Linked DNA regions of Saccharomyces cerevisiae S288C. The gene in region 1 interacts genetically with each later gene. Each region holds a gene or a part of one and is shown in the gene's direction. Other genes may lie near its edges.

Evidence for each region. Genes that interact genetically often act in the same process or in processes that back each other up.
Region 2: mutations in PDS5 (region 1) and ALR2 together harm fitness more than expected from each alone (negative genetic interaction), as found in Saccharomyces cerevisiae (one large-scale study listed by BioGRID).
Region 3: mutations in PDS5 (region 1) and MNT2 together harm fitness more than expected from each alone (negative genetic interaction), as found in Saccharomyces cerevisiae (one large-scale study listed by BioGRID).

The regions. Positions count from the first base shown.
Region 1 is NC_001145.3:415,344-421,992, reverse strand, and holds PDS5 (sister chromatid cohesion factor PDS5), read left to right. Parts: upstream 1-1,963; coding exon 1,964-5,797; downstream 5,798-6,649. Other genes in the region: ESCRT-III subunit protein VPS20, read left to right, coding at 1-509; YMR075C-A (uncharacterized protein), read left to right, coding at 5,940-6,305; RCO1 (Rco1p), read right to left, coding at 5,957-6,649. UniProt on the Saccharomyces cerevisiae protein: Essential for the establishment and maintenance of sister chromatid cohesion at centromere proximal and distal regions during S phase. Also required for chromosomal condensation.
Region 2 is NC_001138.5:32,494-37,501, reverse strand, and holds ALR2 (putative Mg(2+) transporter ALR2), read left to right. Parts: upstream 1-1,653; coding exon 1,654-4,230; downstream 4,231-5,008. Other genes in the region: SWP82 (Swp82p), read right to left, coding at 1-699. UniProt on the Saccharomyces cerevisiae protein: Plasma membrane magnesium transporter.
Region 3 is NC_001139.9:11,703-16,164, reverse strand, and holds MNT2 (alpha-1,3-mannosyltransferase MNT2), read left to right. Parts: upstream 1-2,007; coding exon 2,008-3,684; downstream 3,685-4,462. Other genes in the region: alcohol dehydrogenase ADH4, read right to left, coding at 1-1,006; VEL1 (Vel1p), read right to left, coding at 4,435-4,462. UniProt on the Saccharomyces cerevisiae protein: Mannosyltransferase involved in adding the 4th and 5th mannose residues of O-linked glycans.

The DNA.
Region 1 (6,649 bases):
CTGAAAATTATAAATCTAACATGAAGGTACGATTTCTACTAAAAAGAATTCATTATCAGGAGCATTTGTTGCAGCAGGCTTCGGATCAGCTTATTAATTTGGAAAATATGGTGTCAACACTTGAGTTCAAAATGGTAGAAAAGCAATTTATTAATGGACTGAAAAATGGAAATGAAATCTTGAAAAAACTAAACAAGGAATTTAGCAATGTTGATGAACTGATGGACGATGTACAAGATCAAATTGCGTATCAAAATGAAATTAACGAGACATTATCTAGAAGCTTAGTCGGAACAAGCAATTATGAAGACGATCTAGATAAGGAATTGGATGCTCTAGAAAGTGAACTCAATCCAGAGAAGATGAATAACGCAAAAGTAGCTAACATGCCATCAACAGAAGGTTTGCCATCATTGCCTCAAGGAGAACAAACCGAGCAAAAAGAAAGAGAGGAATTCGCGACGGAGGAGAGATCAGACACTAAGGAACCTTTAGCATTACTATCCTGAATGTCTGTATGTAGCTTCAAAATTAAAAATAAAGGGAATGTAAATAGGTTCCTTCCAGGTTTTTCGTTGATAGAATTTGTTTAGTATTTTCAAAAATAAATACTAAGTTTATATAGTACTTTTATAGCTAAGCCAAGACGTGATAAATAGTCGTTAGAATTTTTATTGTTAAAATGAAGCATCAGCTATCATCTCTTGACTTGTTCCATACTACTAGAAGATTATCATATACGACATAAAAAGATGATATAAAGATTGAGAAAAGTCTAGAGATGTAATGGAAGTTTCTGTCCCAATTATGGCAACTATTAATTTATGTTAACCTTTAAATTTTGCTTGAAATAAAATGATGAATGACAATATATTAAAAGAAAAACAAAATAGAGGAAAAAGTTATAATATTATCGTGTAAAAATATCGATTCCTTAATGTGGATTTCAAGTCCTCGAGGTGAATTTCTCCTATAATCTGAATTCACAGCATCGTAGCCTTCATCAACAGCAAAATTTCTGGGGATAGTGGCTTTTTCTTTATATATTTATCCTGAATCAATGAACTTTCCTAAATTAAAGTTCTTGCACAATTTTCAATGGTCATGCCATGAAATAATACTATTTTGTTAAATGTCGGAGATATTTCAAAAAAAGAATAGGACATGATATTTAGGCCATATATTGAGAGCTACATTAAAAAAGATCCTATTATTAGAGGAAAGTTTCCTGTACGGTTGACCTGAAAAAAGAAATGTTCTTCTATAAAAGATTACATAAAATGTTTAGTCCATAAAACCATAAGTATAGGTCCAGACCATCACAAATAACAGGTTTCGTGGTCTAGTCGGTTATGGCATCTGCTTAACACGCAGAACGTCCCCAGTTCGATCCTGGGCGAAATCATTTTTATCTCAGCCGTTACGGAAAGTTTTTTAACGCCCGTCTGGCGTCCCACCTTTTAGGTAAAGACTCTGAAGTTACCCTCTACCCTCTTGGAATTGCGGCAGTAAGAATAGTTAAAAACATAATTTAGTAAGAAGCAGGATGTATATTTTAATTTATAATAGTGTGATGAACTCCCCTCCTAAATGCAGTACATAGTAAGAATTTCCATGAAAAAGAACAACTCAACTGCGACTGTTTGTTTTATCCTCAGTTTTCAGACTCCTCAATGCAGTTTTTTTCTCAGATTAAACTTTTACCTTTTCATCTATTTAGCCGCCAAGGGAAAATATGCACTACCCGGAATGATGGCGTTAAAAGTGACTTAATCTATAGACATGTCGCGACGCGACGCGTAAAGTTGTATAAACAAGTGAAAGTTTATAAACCTAGGCTCCATCGAAATTGTTGTTAATTGTAAAAAGACCTAAAAGAAGTTTATCCACCTTGTTAGTTTGTATCCGGTCTCAATTTTTACAGGTATATTTGTAAAGAAGCAAGAAATAAAGTGCGAACAAAATGGCTAAAGGTGCTGTTACTAAACTGAAGTTTAACTCACCTATAATATCTACCTCCGATCAGCTGATATCAACAAATGAACTATTAGATCGTTTAAAAGCTTTACATGAGGAATTAGCCTCTCTGGATCAAGACAATACAGATTTAACGGGATTAGATAAATATAGGGACGCACTAGTTAGCAGAAAATTATTAAAACATAAAGACGTGGGGATCCGCGCTTTCACCGCTTGTTGTCTAAGCGATATCCTGAGATTATATGCTCCAGATGCGCCTTATACGGATGCTCAACTAACGGACATTTTCAAGCTGGTGCTCTCACAATTTGAACAATTAGGTGACCAAGAAAACGGCTATCACATCCAACAAACTTATTTGATCACTAAGCTACTAGAATACAGATCAATCGTATTATTAGCCGATTTACCTAGTTCAAACAATTTACTTATCGAACTATTCCATATTTTTTACGATCCTAACAAGAGCTTCCCCGCAAGGCTCTTCAATGTAATAGGCGGTATTCTCGGTGAAGTCATCTCTGAGTTCGATTCTGTTCCCCTAGAAGTACTAAGATTAATTTTTAATAAGTTTTTGACCTATAACCCGAATGAAATTCCTGAAGGTTTGAACGTTACTTCTGACTGTGGCTACGAAGTTAGTCTAATTTTGTGTGATACTTATTCCAATAGAATGAGTAGACATCTAACTAAATACTATTCCGAGATTATTCATGAAGCAACTAATGATGACAATAATTCAAGACTTCTCACTGTGGTAGTGAAATTACATAAACTGGTATTGAGACTTTGGGAAACAGTACCCGAACTGATCAATGCAGTAATCGGATTTATATACCACGAATTATCTTCGGAAAACGAGCTTTTCAGAAAAGAAGCTACAAAATTAATTGGTCAAATACTTACCTCATATTCGGATTTAAATTTTGTTTCTACACATTCCGATACGTTCAAGGCATGGATTTCCAAAATTGCTGATATTAGTCCCGATGTTAGAGTAGAATGGACAGAATCAATTCCTCAAATCATTGCCACGAGAGAAGACATATCCAAAGAACTGAATCAGGCACTGGCAAAAACCTTTATTGATTCTGATCCTCGTGTACGCAGGACTTCTGTTATGATTTTTAATAAAGTTCCCGTTACTGAAATTTGGAAAAATATAACCAATAAAGCCATTTATACATCTTTACTTCATTTGGCCCGAGAAAAACATAAGGAGGTTAGGGAACTCTGCATTAACACTATGGCCAAGTTTTACTCAAATTCATTGAATGAGATCGAAAGGACATACCAAAATAAAGAAATTTGGGAAATCATAGACACCATACCATCCACTTTATACAATCTCTATTATATCAATGATTTAAACATCAATGAACAAGTCGACAGCGTAATTTTCGAATACCTACTACCGTTTGAACCAGATAACGATAAAAGAGTCCACAGACTGCTAACGGTTTTGTCACATTTTGATAAGAAGGCATTCACTTCATTTTTCGCTTTCAATGCAAGACAAATCAAAATATCCTTCGCTATATCCAAATATATTGATTTTAGTAAATTTTTGAACAATCAAGAAAGTATGAGCTCGTCTCAAGGTCCTATTGTAATGAACAAGTACAACCAAACTCTCCAGTGGTTAGCTTCTGGCCTTTCTGACTCTACGAAAGCAATCGACGCCCTCGAAACAATAAAACAATTTAACGACGAAAGAATCTTTTATTTATTAAATGCCTGTGTCACCAACGATATTCCGTTTCTTACTTTTAAAAATTGTTACAATGAATTGGTCAGTAAGTTACAAACGCCAGGACTATTTAAAAAATATAATATATCTACTGGTGCTTCCATTATGCCACGTGATATCGCCAAGGTAATACAAATTTTGCTTTTTAGAGCCTCACCAATAATTTATAATGTATCCAACATCAGTGTTTTATTGAACCTATCTAATAATTCTGACGCAAAACAATTGGATTTGAAAAGAAGAATCTTGGATGATATATCGAAAGTCAATCCCACATTATTTAAAGATCAGATTAGAACATTAAAAACCATTATCAAGGATTTGGATGATCCAGATGCAGAAAAAAATGATAACTTGTCATTGGAAGAAGCTTTAAAAACCCTTTACAAGGCTTCCAAAACATTAAAGGATCAAGTGGATTTTGACGACACGTTTTTCTTCACCAAATTATACGATTTTGCAGTTGAAAGTAAACCAGAAATAACGAAATACGCCACAAAACTTATCGCTTTATCGCCCAAAGCTGAAGAAACTCTGAAAAAGATAAAAATACGTATCCTACCTTTAGATTTGCAAAAAGACAAGTATTTTACATCTCATATTATTGTACTCATGGAAATATTTAAAAAATTCCCTCACGTCCTAAATGATGATTCCACTGATATCATATCATACCTAATTAAAGAAGTTCTATTATCAAACCAGGTCGTTGGTGATTCAAAAAAAGAAATTGACTGGGTAGAAGATTCTCTATTAAGTGACACGAAATATTCTGCAATAGGTAATAAGGTGTTTACTTTAAAGCTGTTCACCAACAAATTGAGATCAATTGCTCCGGATGTTCCACGAGATGAATTGGCAGAAAGTTTCACCGAAAAAACTATGAAGTTATTCTTTTACTTGATTGCAAGTGGTGGTGAGCTGATTTCCGAGTTTAACAAGGAGTTTTATCCCACCCCCAGTAATTATCAAACAAAATTGAGGTGTGTGGCAGGAATTCAAGTTTTAAAACTGGCCAGGATTTCTAATTTGAACAACTTTATCAAACCTTCGGACATTATTAAATTAATTAATTTGGTTGAAGATGAATCGCTGCCAGTAAGAAAAACATTTTTGGAACAACTGAAAGATTATGTTGCTAATGAACTGATTTCCATAAAGTTCCTACCACTAGTATTTTTTACTGCTTATGAACCAGATGTCGAACTGAAAACCACAACGAAGATATGGATAAACTTTACATTTGGCTTAAAATCATTTAAAAAAGGGACGATATTTGAAAGAGCTTTGCCTAGGTTGATACATGCGATTGCACATCACCCTGATATTGTGGGAGGTTTAGATTCCGAAGGAGACGCATATCTAAATGCTTTAACAACAGCGATTGATTATTTGCTGTTTTACTTTGACTCTATTGCCGCCCAAGAGAACTTCAGTTTGCTCTATTATTTATCAGAAAGGGTAAAAAACTATCAAGATAAGTTAGTTGAGGATGAAATTGATGAAGAAGAAGGACCACAAAAAGAAGAAGCGCCAAAGAAGCATAGACCTTACGGTCAGAAAATGTATATCATAGGTGAGCTGTCGCAAATGATTCTATTGAATTTAAAAGAGAAGAAAAATTGGCAACATTCAGCATATCCAGGTAAATTAAACTTACCATCAGATTTGTTCAAACCTTTTGCAACGGTTCAGGAGGCCCAGTTATCTTTCAAAACATACATACCAGAGAGCTTGACTGAAAAAATACAAAACAATATAAAAGCTAAAATCGGACGGATTCTTCACACGTCACAAACTCAAAGACAAAGGCTTCAAAAGAGGTTATTAGCTCACGAAAACAATGAATCACAAAAAAAAAAGAAGAAAGTTCATCATGCGAGATCACAGGCTGACGACGAAGAAGGTGATGGGGATCGAGAATCAGACAGTGATGATGACAGTTATTCACCGTCTAACAAAAATGAAACCAAGAAAGGGCACGAAAATATTGTGATGAAGAAATTGAGGGTCAGGAAAGAAGTTGACTACAAAGACGATGAAGATGATGACATCGAGATGACTTAGAAGGGAAAAAAACATCAATTGCTATGTTGTAAATGGAAAAAAAAGGAAAATAGGTAGATCTCTCACTTTAAGATGCGATACATATGCCTATGTATGTGTGTATATATGTAAGGAAGGTGTTCACGTTCCTGATTTATTCTTTATGTATGTACGCCGTTTCTATTCGGATTGGTTTTCGGGATTTTCTATGTTTAAAAATTTTAACAGTTCTTCCTTTGGTTTGGATTCGATAATCTTCTTTAAATATAACAGATGCTTTATTTCATCGCTGGAAAAGTCATTGAATTGTATAGAATCTAGTTCGTTCGGCACGACTACGTTAGTCAGTTCTTTCAAATCCCATAATTTTCTTAAGTTATTGCTTTTGGAAGCCGATTTATTGTTACTACTCTTGTCGTTGTTGCTAACTTGGAAATATATTAAAGAGGCTATGTCTTTGACCATATTATCCTCGCTATTGCCATTTTGGGATCCATTTGATACTAACTTATCTATTAAACTTTCTTGAAATTGAAAGAGTTTTCTTTTTTGAACCATTTTTGATTTGTAAATTTTATCAAAAAAATCATATTTAATGGAATTTTCATCTATTTGTGTAATTTTGAAATCTTGATTGAAATCATAATCTGTATGACTAGTTGTTGGTATGATTTGAATGTTCCCGTTATTTTGGTAGCCTATTTTTTGTAAAGGTTCATAATAAAGTTGGTTTTTCTTGTTTATCAATCGTTGTTTTTTCCACACCTTATAATTTACGCTATTATCTTCTTGACAATGGTGTATCTTTTTGTAAACTTTAGTTGGGGAATGTAGAGGACATTTCCATTTTGAACCTAAGTTCTTGAAAGAAGC
Region 2 (5,008 bases), on another chromosome or scaffold:
TAAATTTGTTGATAATTTGAAAACCCTTTGGTGAGACGACAAATTTTGCTTTTTAGCTAAAGATTCCCAATAATCATCAACGATGCGTTGACCACCGGCAATAACAGAAGCACCGAATTCAACAAAGGCTGACCTGGCAGTTATATACTTAAAAGATCCTTTGGATTCTTCAGGAATGACACCATTTTTGGCCAAAAATTTTGTTTGTTCCTCAGAAGTTTCCATTACCAGAATTTGATCATGCTGGACAATAAACTCGTCCTCGTCATGCGTTGCGTTGCTTTGGTATAACACTTTAATGACATCTTGTAAAAGTACCAGAAGAACACCCATATGAGCCGTGAATGTGAAGGTGTTGAACAAATAATGTCTACCGCCAAATAATTCACCGTTCGAACCCACTTTTTTCTCACCATAAGCATCCAATTGTATCATCTTGTAGGATGTATTAGTAGCGTCTCTCGTCTTAAGTTCATCTATATATTTCGGTAATTCTAATTTTTTGTAGGGAAATTTGTCTAAGGGAGGTTGAACCAATTCATCTTGATCCAGGATTTGCAGAATTTGCTTAAGTATCACTCTTTCATGTTCTCTGATAAGTATTTTGGGTACTATAAATACAGCTCCAACCTCTCCTTGTTTTACAGAAGGATTATTTCCCTTTTCAAGAACGGTATTCCCTTCATCTTCGCCAAGCATATTCGTCTCTCTTTAAAACGCCCTTTGTTTTGGTTCTTCTTCCTACTTTTTTTATTTATAGTATTATACATTCCATGTTTTTCTTGTTTTTACATTGAGAAAAGTCCAGAAAGGGAAAAGTGATGGTTCGAAAAAAAAATATAGACGGCTGAAACTACAACTATATTTAATGCACAGGGCCACTTTCTGAACGGCTAATCTTTCCATGTCAGGATATATTTCCGTTGTACTTGACGAGGTCATAATACTCTGAAAATTTTTTTAGATACGACAAATATATCAGCTGCTAAACTCCTTTATGGATGTGTTGAAGGGAACACTTATCGCTTATTCTTCCTACGTGCTAGATTCCGTAACTGAGCTGTACTTCCCACATCGTAGTTGCCTAAATGTGAGAAACAAGAAGTGCCCTTCGTGCTTAGACCGTGGATATCATATATGTGAAGGTTGACAGTTCTTCCAAGTTTCAACAAACTATGCAAGACCTCCATTAATTTATACGCACATTCATTTGACAGAGGCCCTGTATACAAGAAGTACAGACAAAACTAACCGTTGTCCATATCCTACTATCAAACTATTCTTTCAGGTACGTTTTTACTGCCTGACCGGCTATAAGTTACAAAAGCGACTCCTTGAGATAAAAATTTTCTTCGAAAAATGCAGCATTTGGTTTGGCTGTTCACGAAAGTGGCTGCTTCCAGAGAAATCAGGTTTTCCTCGAGCATATGATATTTTAACGTAGAGGTTTATATTATAAAAGTGGAAAGGTAAAATCAACAGCGTTTATTTCCTCTATTCAATGTTCAGCAAGGACGGTAGAGACTACTATTGCTAAACAATTACTTACATGGAAATGTACTGTCAGTTGGATAAAAAAATCGACAGGAATATATTTTAATCACCTTTATAGAAGTACTGAATTTTTATGAGAAAACGTGAAAAAACTTCGTAATGTCGTCCTTATCCACTTCATTTGATTCATCGTCAGATTTACCAAGGTCAAAATCCGTTGACAATACGGCGGCTTCCATGAAGACAGGCAAGTACCCAAAATTAGAGAACTATAGGCAGTATTCTGATGCACAACCAATACGTCACGAAGCGCTTGCATTGAAAGTGGACGAAACGAAAGATTCTAGACACAAATTTAGTTCCTCTAACGGGGAGAATAGTGGAGTGGAAAATGGAGGCTATGTGGAGAAAACGAATATATCCACAAGTGGCCGCATGGATTTTGAAGGTGAAGCAGAAGCAGAAGCAGTGAAACGTTACCAGTTAAGATCTTTCGCGCTTTTAAGTTCTAATGCGAGGCCATCCAGGCTAGCAAAGTCTGAAACTCACCAAAAGCAGATTCATGTAGAGAGCATCGCTCCCTCTTTGCCAAAGAATGCGGCTTTAGAGAGAGGCCATGATACGGCGTTACCTGCCGGTACGTCAAGTAACAGATGCAACTTAGAAGCCTCCTCCTCGGCAAGAACTTTTACAAGCGCTCGTAAGGCTTCGCTAGTTAGCGCAATCTTTGAAACATCGGCTGAATCAGAGCATGGTACGCATCCCAAACAGGCGAAACTTAAGAGAAGAACCTATTCTACAATATCGACACATTCATCAGTCAATCCTACAACGTTGTTGACAAGAACTGCATCGCAAAAGTCCGATATGGGAAATGACACACGAAGAATTAAACCGTTACGTATGGATAGCAGGGTATCTTTCCATAGTGAGATATCGCAAGCATCCAGGGATTCTCAAGAAACAGAAGAAGACGTTTGTTTTCCAATGTTTCGACTATTACATACAAGAGTTAATGGTGTTGATTTTGATGAGTTGGAAGAATATGCCCAGATTTCAAATGCTGAAAGAAATCTGTCTTTGGCGAACCATCAAAGGCACAGTGAACGAACATACAATCATACCGACCAAGATACTGGATTTACTAACTCTGCTTCCACTTCAGGATCCTCAGCAGCTCTGAAATATACACCTGAAATTTCACGGACTCTTGAAAAAAATTGCAGCGTTAATGAGATGTACGTATCTGAAAACAATGAATCTGTGAGGGAAGATGATAAACCTGATCTACACCCTGACGTAACATTTGGTAGAAATAAGATTGAAGGTGAAAAAGAAGGAAATGATTCGAGTTATAGCCGGGCGTATTATACCCTCCAAAATACAGAATATCAAATTCCTAGTAGATTTTCGTTCTTCCGCTCTGAATCTGATGAAACTGTGCATGCTAGTGATATCCCTTCTTTGATATCCGAGGGACAGACGTTTTATGAGTTATTCAAGGGAGGCGATCCAACGTGGTGGTTGGATTGCAGTTGTCCAACTGATGATGAAATGCGTTGCATAGCAAAAACATTTGGAATCCATCCTTTGACCGCGGAAGATATCAGGATGCAAGAAACGCGTGAAAAGGTAGAGCTTTTCAAATCCTATTACTTTGTCTGTTTCCATACATTTGAAAATGATAAAGAATCGGAGAATTATCTTGAACCTATAAATGTTTACATCGTTGTTTTTAGGTCAGGTGTCTTGACTTTTCATTTTGACCCAATATCACACTGTGCCAATGTAAGAAGACGTGTAAGACAATTACGTGACTATGTCAGTGTCAATTCAGATTGGTTATGTTATGCTTTAATCGATGATATCACAGATAGTTTTGCTCCGGTTATTCAATCCATCGAGTATGAAGCTGATTCGATTGATGATTCAGTGTTTATGACCCGTGATATGGATTTTGCAGCCATGTTACAAAGGATTGGTGAAAGTAGGCGTAAGACAATGACGCTGATGAGACTCTTGAGCGGTAAAGCAGATGTTATCAAAATGTTCGCCAAAAGATGTCAAGATGAAACTAATGGTATTGGGCCAGTGCTTAAATCTCAAACTAACATGGTGAACTTACAAGCGGAACAAGAGAATGTGAACCAGAATAATAGTAATAACCAAATAAGCTTATCAAATAGCTATATGCAAACAACATCACAACCAAGGGGAGATATTGCTTTATACTTAGGTGATATTCAGGATCATTTGTTGACGATGTTTCAAAATTTATTGGCGTACGAAAAGATTTTTTCTAGATCACATGCAAACTACCTGGCCCAATTACAAGTGGAATCATTTAACTCTAATAATAAAGTTACAGAAATGTTGGGTAAAGTTACTATGTTAGGTACAATGTTAGTTCCATTAAATGTTATTACTGGTCTGTTCGGTATGAATGTAAAAGTTCCAGGAAGAAATGGAAGTATTGCGTGGTGGTATGGAATTTTGGGGGTACTGCTTTTACTAGCTGTCATAAGCTGGTTTTTAGCTAGCTATTGGATCAAAAAAATAGACCCACCTGCAACGCTCAACGAAGCCGCAGGTAGTGGGGCCAAATCAGTCATATCTAGTTTTTTACCGAAAAGAGATAAAAGATTTAACGATGATTCTAAAAATGGCAATGCGAGAGTTGGCGTTCGAAGGAAATCAACTGTCAGTCTACCCAGTAGATATAGCCGTTACAATTAACATGACCGCTATGGTAGGTCGGCAGATCTTTAGCAGGCAGAATAAAAGTCTGCCGAACAACAAGTTCCTGAATTTTGAAAATTTTTGGCACATTGGTTGACTGCTTTTAAAGCATTTTTTTGATATGAGGGCACAAAAATATGACGCTTCACTTAAAGTTTCTCATATTCTGACACACTTCAGTGATTTTTTAAATCACATTGCATATTTATACCGTAAAAGTTGTAGAGTTAGTTTTCTTTATGTAGGCCAATAAAATAAATTTGCTTGAGCTGCATTACTAGCAACATAATTGACCAATTTATACGTTTAGTTTTAACATCATCACAATGGTGTATAAAAAAAATTGGTACCGAACCATGATATAACAGACTTCTGATCAGAAGTACGAAGTAAAACCAGAGAACATTACCAAAAACTTTTATGATGTATCTATATTGTTAAATAAACGAAGCCTGACAGTGGAACTGCGCTTTTTTTATCTTCCTTACCATGACTACCATTTATGAGCGGAATAATCATATCATTTTTACGAAAGCACCGCCTAAACTCAAAAATGGAAATTAGTACAGGCGTATTAAACCAAGAAAATAGAAGCTGTCGCGATACTTATTTACAAAATAAATCTACGTGGCCACATACACATGAAAACCACAATAAACTTCTTGCGTTAGTAAATAACTATAATTTGTATGCCTGGTCAGATTTCTACAGACAGCAAAGACTCCAATAAGCGCTAAATAAAAAGTCAGCATTTTGAATAATCATAGACAAGAAC
Region 3 (4,462 bases), on another chromosome or scaffold:
TTCTTGGAATGTTCATGGTTCTGTTTAAAACGTGCAAAGCCTTGATGGTTTCTTCTGGATCTTCTTGAGAAGCACCGAAATGCAAAGCAATTTCACCTAATCTCTTCTTGGCCTTTGGACATTGCATGTTGGCCTCTTGAACATGAGGCAACAAGACAGCGTTACAAACACCATGAGGCAAGTGGTAGAAACCACCAAGTTGATGAGCAAGGGCATGAACATAACCTAGAGAAGCATTGTTGAAAGCCATACCTGCCAAGTATTCAGCGTAACACATGTCAGTTCTGGCCTTCTTGTCTTTACCGTCTTTGTATGCAGCGACTAAGCTTTCATTGATCAAATCAATACCCTTCAAAGCACAGGCATCGGTGATTGGGTTAGAGGCGGTGGAAACATAAGCTTCGATACAGTGAGTCAAAGCATCTAGACCAGTAGCAGCAGTCAAAGCAGGTGGCAAACCAAACATGGTAGATGGATCGTTGACAGCAACAGCTGGAGTGACGTTGTTGTCAATGATAGCCATCTTGATTTTCTTTTCTTCATTAGAGATAATAGTGAATCTGGTCATTTCGGAAGCAGTACCAGCAGTAGTGTTGATGGCAAATAGTGGTAAAGCAGCCTTCTTAGATTGATTGACACCTTCATAGTCTCCGATTTCCCCACCGTTAGTAGCCAATAAAGCAATGGCCTTAGCATTGTCGTGAGCAGAACCACCACCAATGGAAACAACAATTTCAGAGTTTTGTTCCTTCAAAACCTTCAAACCAGCTGTGACATTGGCAATATTTGGGTTTGGTTGAGTTTTGTCATAGATAGCAACGTTTAAGTCACGTTCTTCCAACATCTTTTGGACTCTACCGGAGAGACCAATAGCTGCAATACCAGGATCAGTAACGATCAAAGCCTTTTTGTAATCCTTGTTTTTGATGTAATCAGCGGTTTCTTCTAAAGCACCTTCACCAAAGAAAGAGATTGGTGGAATGTAAAACCCAGTAACGGAAGACATTTTTCTTATTTGACTATTAGTTGTTGCAAATGTAAACTTGTTGTTGATGGTTGTTTTGCAATAGACAGAAGAAAAACGTTTGACTCCAGTCTTTAATAAACCAGAAATGCTAATAACCCTTTTATACATGTTGGTACGCTGCCCTTTTTTCCTGTTTGATAAAAGAATATATCCTAGTAGTGTGAGATATTTGAGGCAGCAAAATATCAATTGCTTTGTAGAGTTAACGGCATACGTGATCCCAAGCATCTGACATATTAAACACGTACCTCGTGATGCGCGAACTAAAAACTAGTTCTTTTTTTTTTTTTTCATAGCTAATCCACTGCGGTGATACTACAGCCATCATCACAAACACTGCTAACAGTTATAACCATGTCAACATCACACTACAAAAAATGGCCTCCTTGGAGAAAATAAAATGGAAGCTCATTGAAGGCCTCCGGGGATCCTTCTGAACACAAAACGCAATTTCAAATCAGCAGCCTCAATTATACTGGTTGCTTAACCGTGAAGGTTCATTTAAGTACTTCTACTTTTTACAAACGCTCGATAACCTTTCAAGTAGTGCGCATAACAGCTGATGCATTAGAAAAAAATTTTCACACGATAGAACTGTAACGCACTACGAAACTAAGCAATATGGCGTAAACACACAAAGACTAAGGGACTTCTTGATTGATTTCTATCAGCAGCGTTCTCCGAATTGTAAATAATAAGTACATTATTAGTGGGCCTTAGGCAACTCTTTGAAACGGAAATTCTTGTTTACATTTTTCATTTTCCCGAGACGAAGTTTTGATGAGCCACACAATACCGGTAAAGAAAGAAAGAAGTACCTGGAACTAAAACAGTGCTAATTCTTCTTTCCTTTACTTTAGGGGTGGGGACCATCGAAGTGGGGGGAGACAGCAAATCTCTCAATTGAGTAAAATATTCGCATGAGTGTTTGCAAATCCGCAGTGACAGGACAAAAGTAGCCCCAATAGTATTTATCGAATATGAGAAGAAAAAATCGACTGTTTATATTAGTTGTACTACTGGGAATTGTGTTAGTAGTATATTACTCTCAGTTGAATTCGTTAGATTTGGTAGAACCAGTTCAAAGTAGCAGCAGTGGCAATGGTGGCTGCTGGAGTTACTATGAAGGTCTTACGCCTGGGTGGTTGAATGACTTCTACGACGTAAATCAAATAACCCCGAATCCTGCAAAAGATGTGATTGAACTGGTTACGAGGATTAAGATTTTTTTTAATTGCTTGCAGCAGGTTGATGGGCATAATATTCAGCGTTTGAGGGATATTGAAAAGAAGCTCTTTCCGTATATTAACTTTGAAAAATTAGAAACTGATGAAAGTGCCTTCTGGCACACAACTACGAGATGGAATGGCGAGGTTTACCATGCGTCTATGTTGGAATTTGACCCCAAAAACCATCAATTCCTTCGTTCTAAGCCCATCAATTTCGATACAGGGCTATCTTTTTGGGAGAATTGGTTGCACACTGTGACTCAAAGTGGTTCGAAAGGCATAGTTATTAGTGCTTCTGACGTGCAGTTGAATGAAACCATACGCTTATTGAAAGTGTTGAGGTTCATCAAAAATGATTATCCTATACAGATTGTTCATAATGCAGATCTGAGTCAAGATTCCATGAAATCTATTATCAAATATGCGAGAAGTCTAGACACCGCTGAATATCCTGCTCAAGAATTATGGTTTTTAAATGTACATAGTCTGCTAAACCCGAAATATTCGAAAAAATTTACCACCTATTCCAACAAGTGGTTAGCATTGACCTTCTCATCCTTTGAAATTCCTATTCTAATGGACTCAGATACAGTGCCCTTTGTTTCAATAGAAAAATTTTATGAATTAGAGGAATTTCAAAAGACTGGAGTTCTATTCTTTAAAGATCGGGTAATATCAGATGATCTATTTGAATCCTCTGAATTAAAAATTCTAAGGGAAATTGTCTATGGGTGTATTGGGCTTGATTTAGAGGATGAATCCAAGATACATGAGCAAGTAGAGGATCCAGTGGTTGCACAGGTTCTGGAAAACATGTTTATAAAGAAATATAAACATCATTTGGAAAGCGGCCTGGTAATATTGCATAAAGGAAAGCATCTCTTCAGTATGCTTACTTCAATAGCTTTACAATTTTCTCCAATTGCAGAATATTTTCATGGTGATAAGGACTTTTTTTGGCTGGGCGAATTACTTTCGAACAATCGCTTTACGTTCCATCCTGTGGATGCATCAAACATTGGTCAGTTGGGCAATGTAGTTTCAAAAGAGAGTACCGGTGAGTTTTACCAGATTTGTTCTGTGCAACTATCTCATACAGACAGGGACGGGTCCTTGCTATGGCTAAACGGGGGCCTTAATATTTGTAAAAAAACTTCATGGGAATACGATTATGAGCATAGACAGAGACTAAATGATATGTTCCAAAATGCAGATGAATTACGTGAATATTATGCATCACCAGTAAAACTTGAAGGGATTATAATACCAGATACTAGTATATCAGGATGGATTAACTCAGGAGAGTGTTTTTTGTTCAATTATTGCACATTATTCAAGGAAGGTGAGTTTGGAAAGTTGATCAAATTTAAAGAAGACGAAAAGCTCCGGCTTTCACAAATAGTCGACATATGGAATAAAGATATTTGACCAAGAGTTGTTCTAGTCTTATAAGCAATAGGTAAACCTACACGCTTTTGTTGTATAATGTAGTATAATTTTTGATATCTGAAAAATTATCGCACTGAAGTATAACGTAATGTTTTGTAACGAAGTTACTCTTTAAGTAAATCACTCTTGGCATGCATTGGATAACATAGCCATGATGCAACGCCAGCAAAAATCCAAATTGATTGCAATAGGGAACTATGAAAAATCTGGTACTCCCGGCCACGCTAAAATGATTTTCCACTAAGGTGTTCCTAAAACCTTTCGGATCCTTTATGTCTCTGGCATCATAAATGTCTGTTTAAATTAAAGTATATTGAATTGGTGTTGAAATTCAGCATAATCGAACCACTCTCATGTGGGATGTAGCATCATTCTTAACGCTTTTACTATGCGATCGCCACTTTTAAATGTTGGAAATTGTGAATAATTTACTTTTATCTTGTAGGCAAACCGATCATATTCTGCAAAATTTTGAAAATCCATATCTAGATGCACTGTATTGCACTTTTATATTATAAAGAATTATATGTAATAAATCGACAATAAATAACGCATCGTAACAAAAAGAACTCGAAAATTTTAAATCAGGGTCAGAAGAAAGTAGAAATGCCTAAAGGAAATCGATTGTACTTTACAGTTAAAAATAACTTCCGCATGGCTTTCTCAAAAGATTTTTGTCTATAACGAAAATAATCAAAACATATCTATAAGTGAGGATGTGAGAAAAGATTAATCAAAACCAGCTTCTGGTGGACAA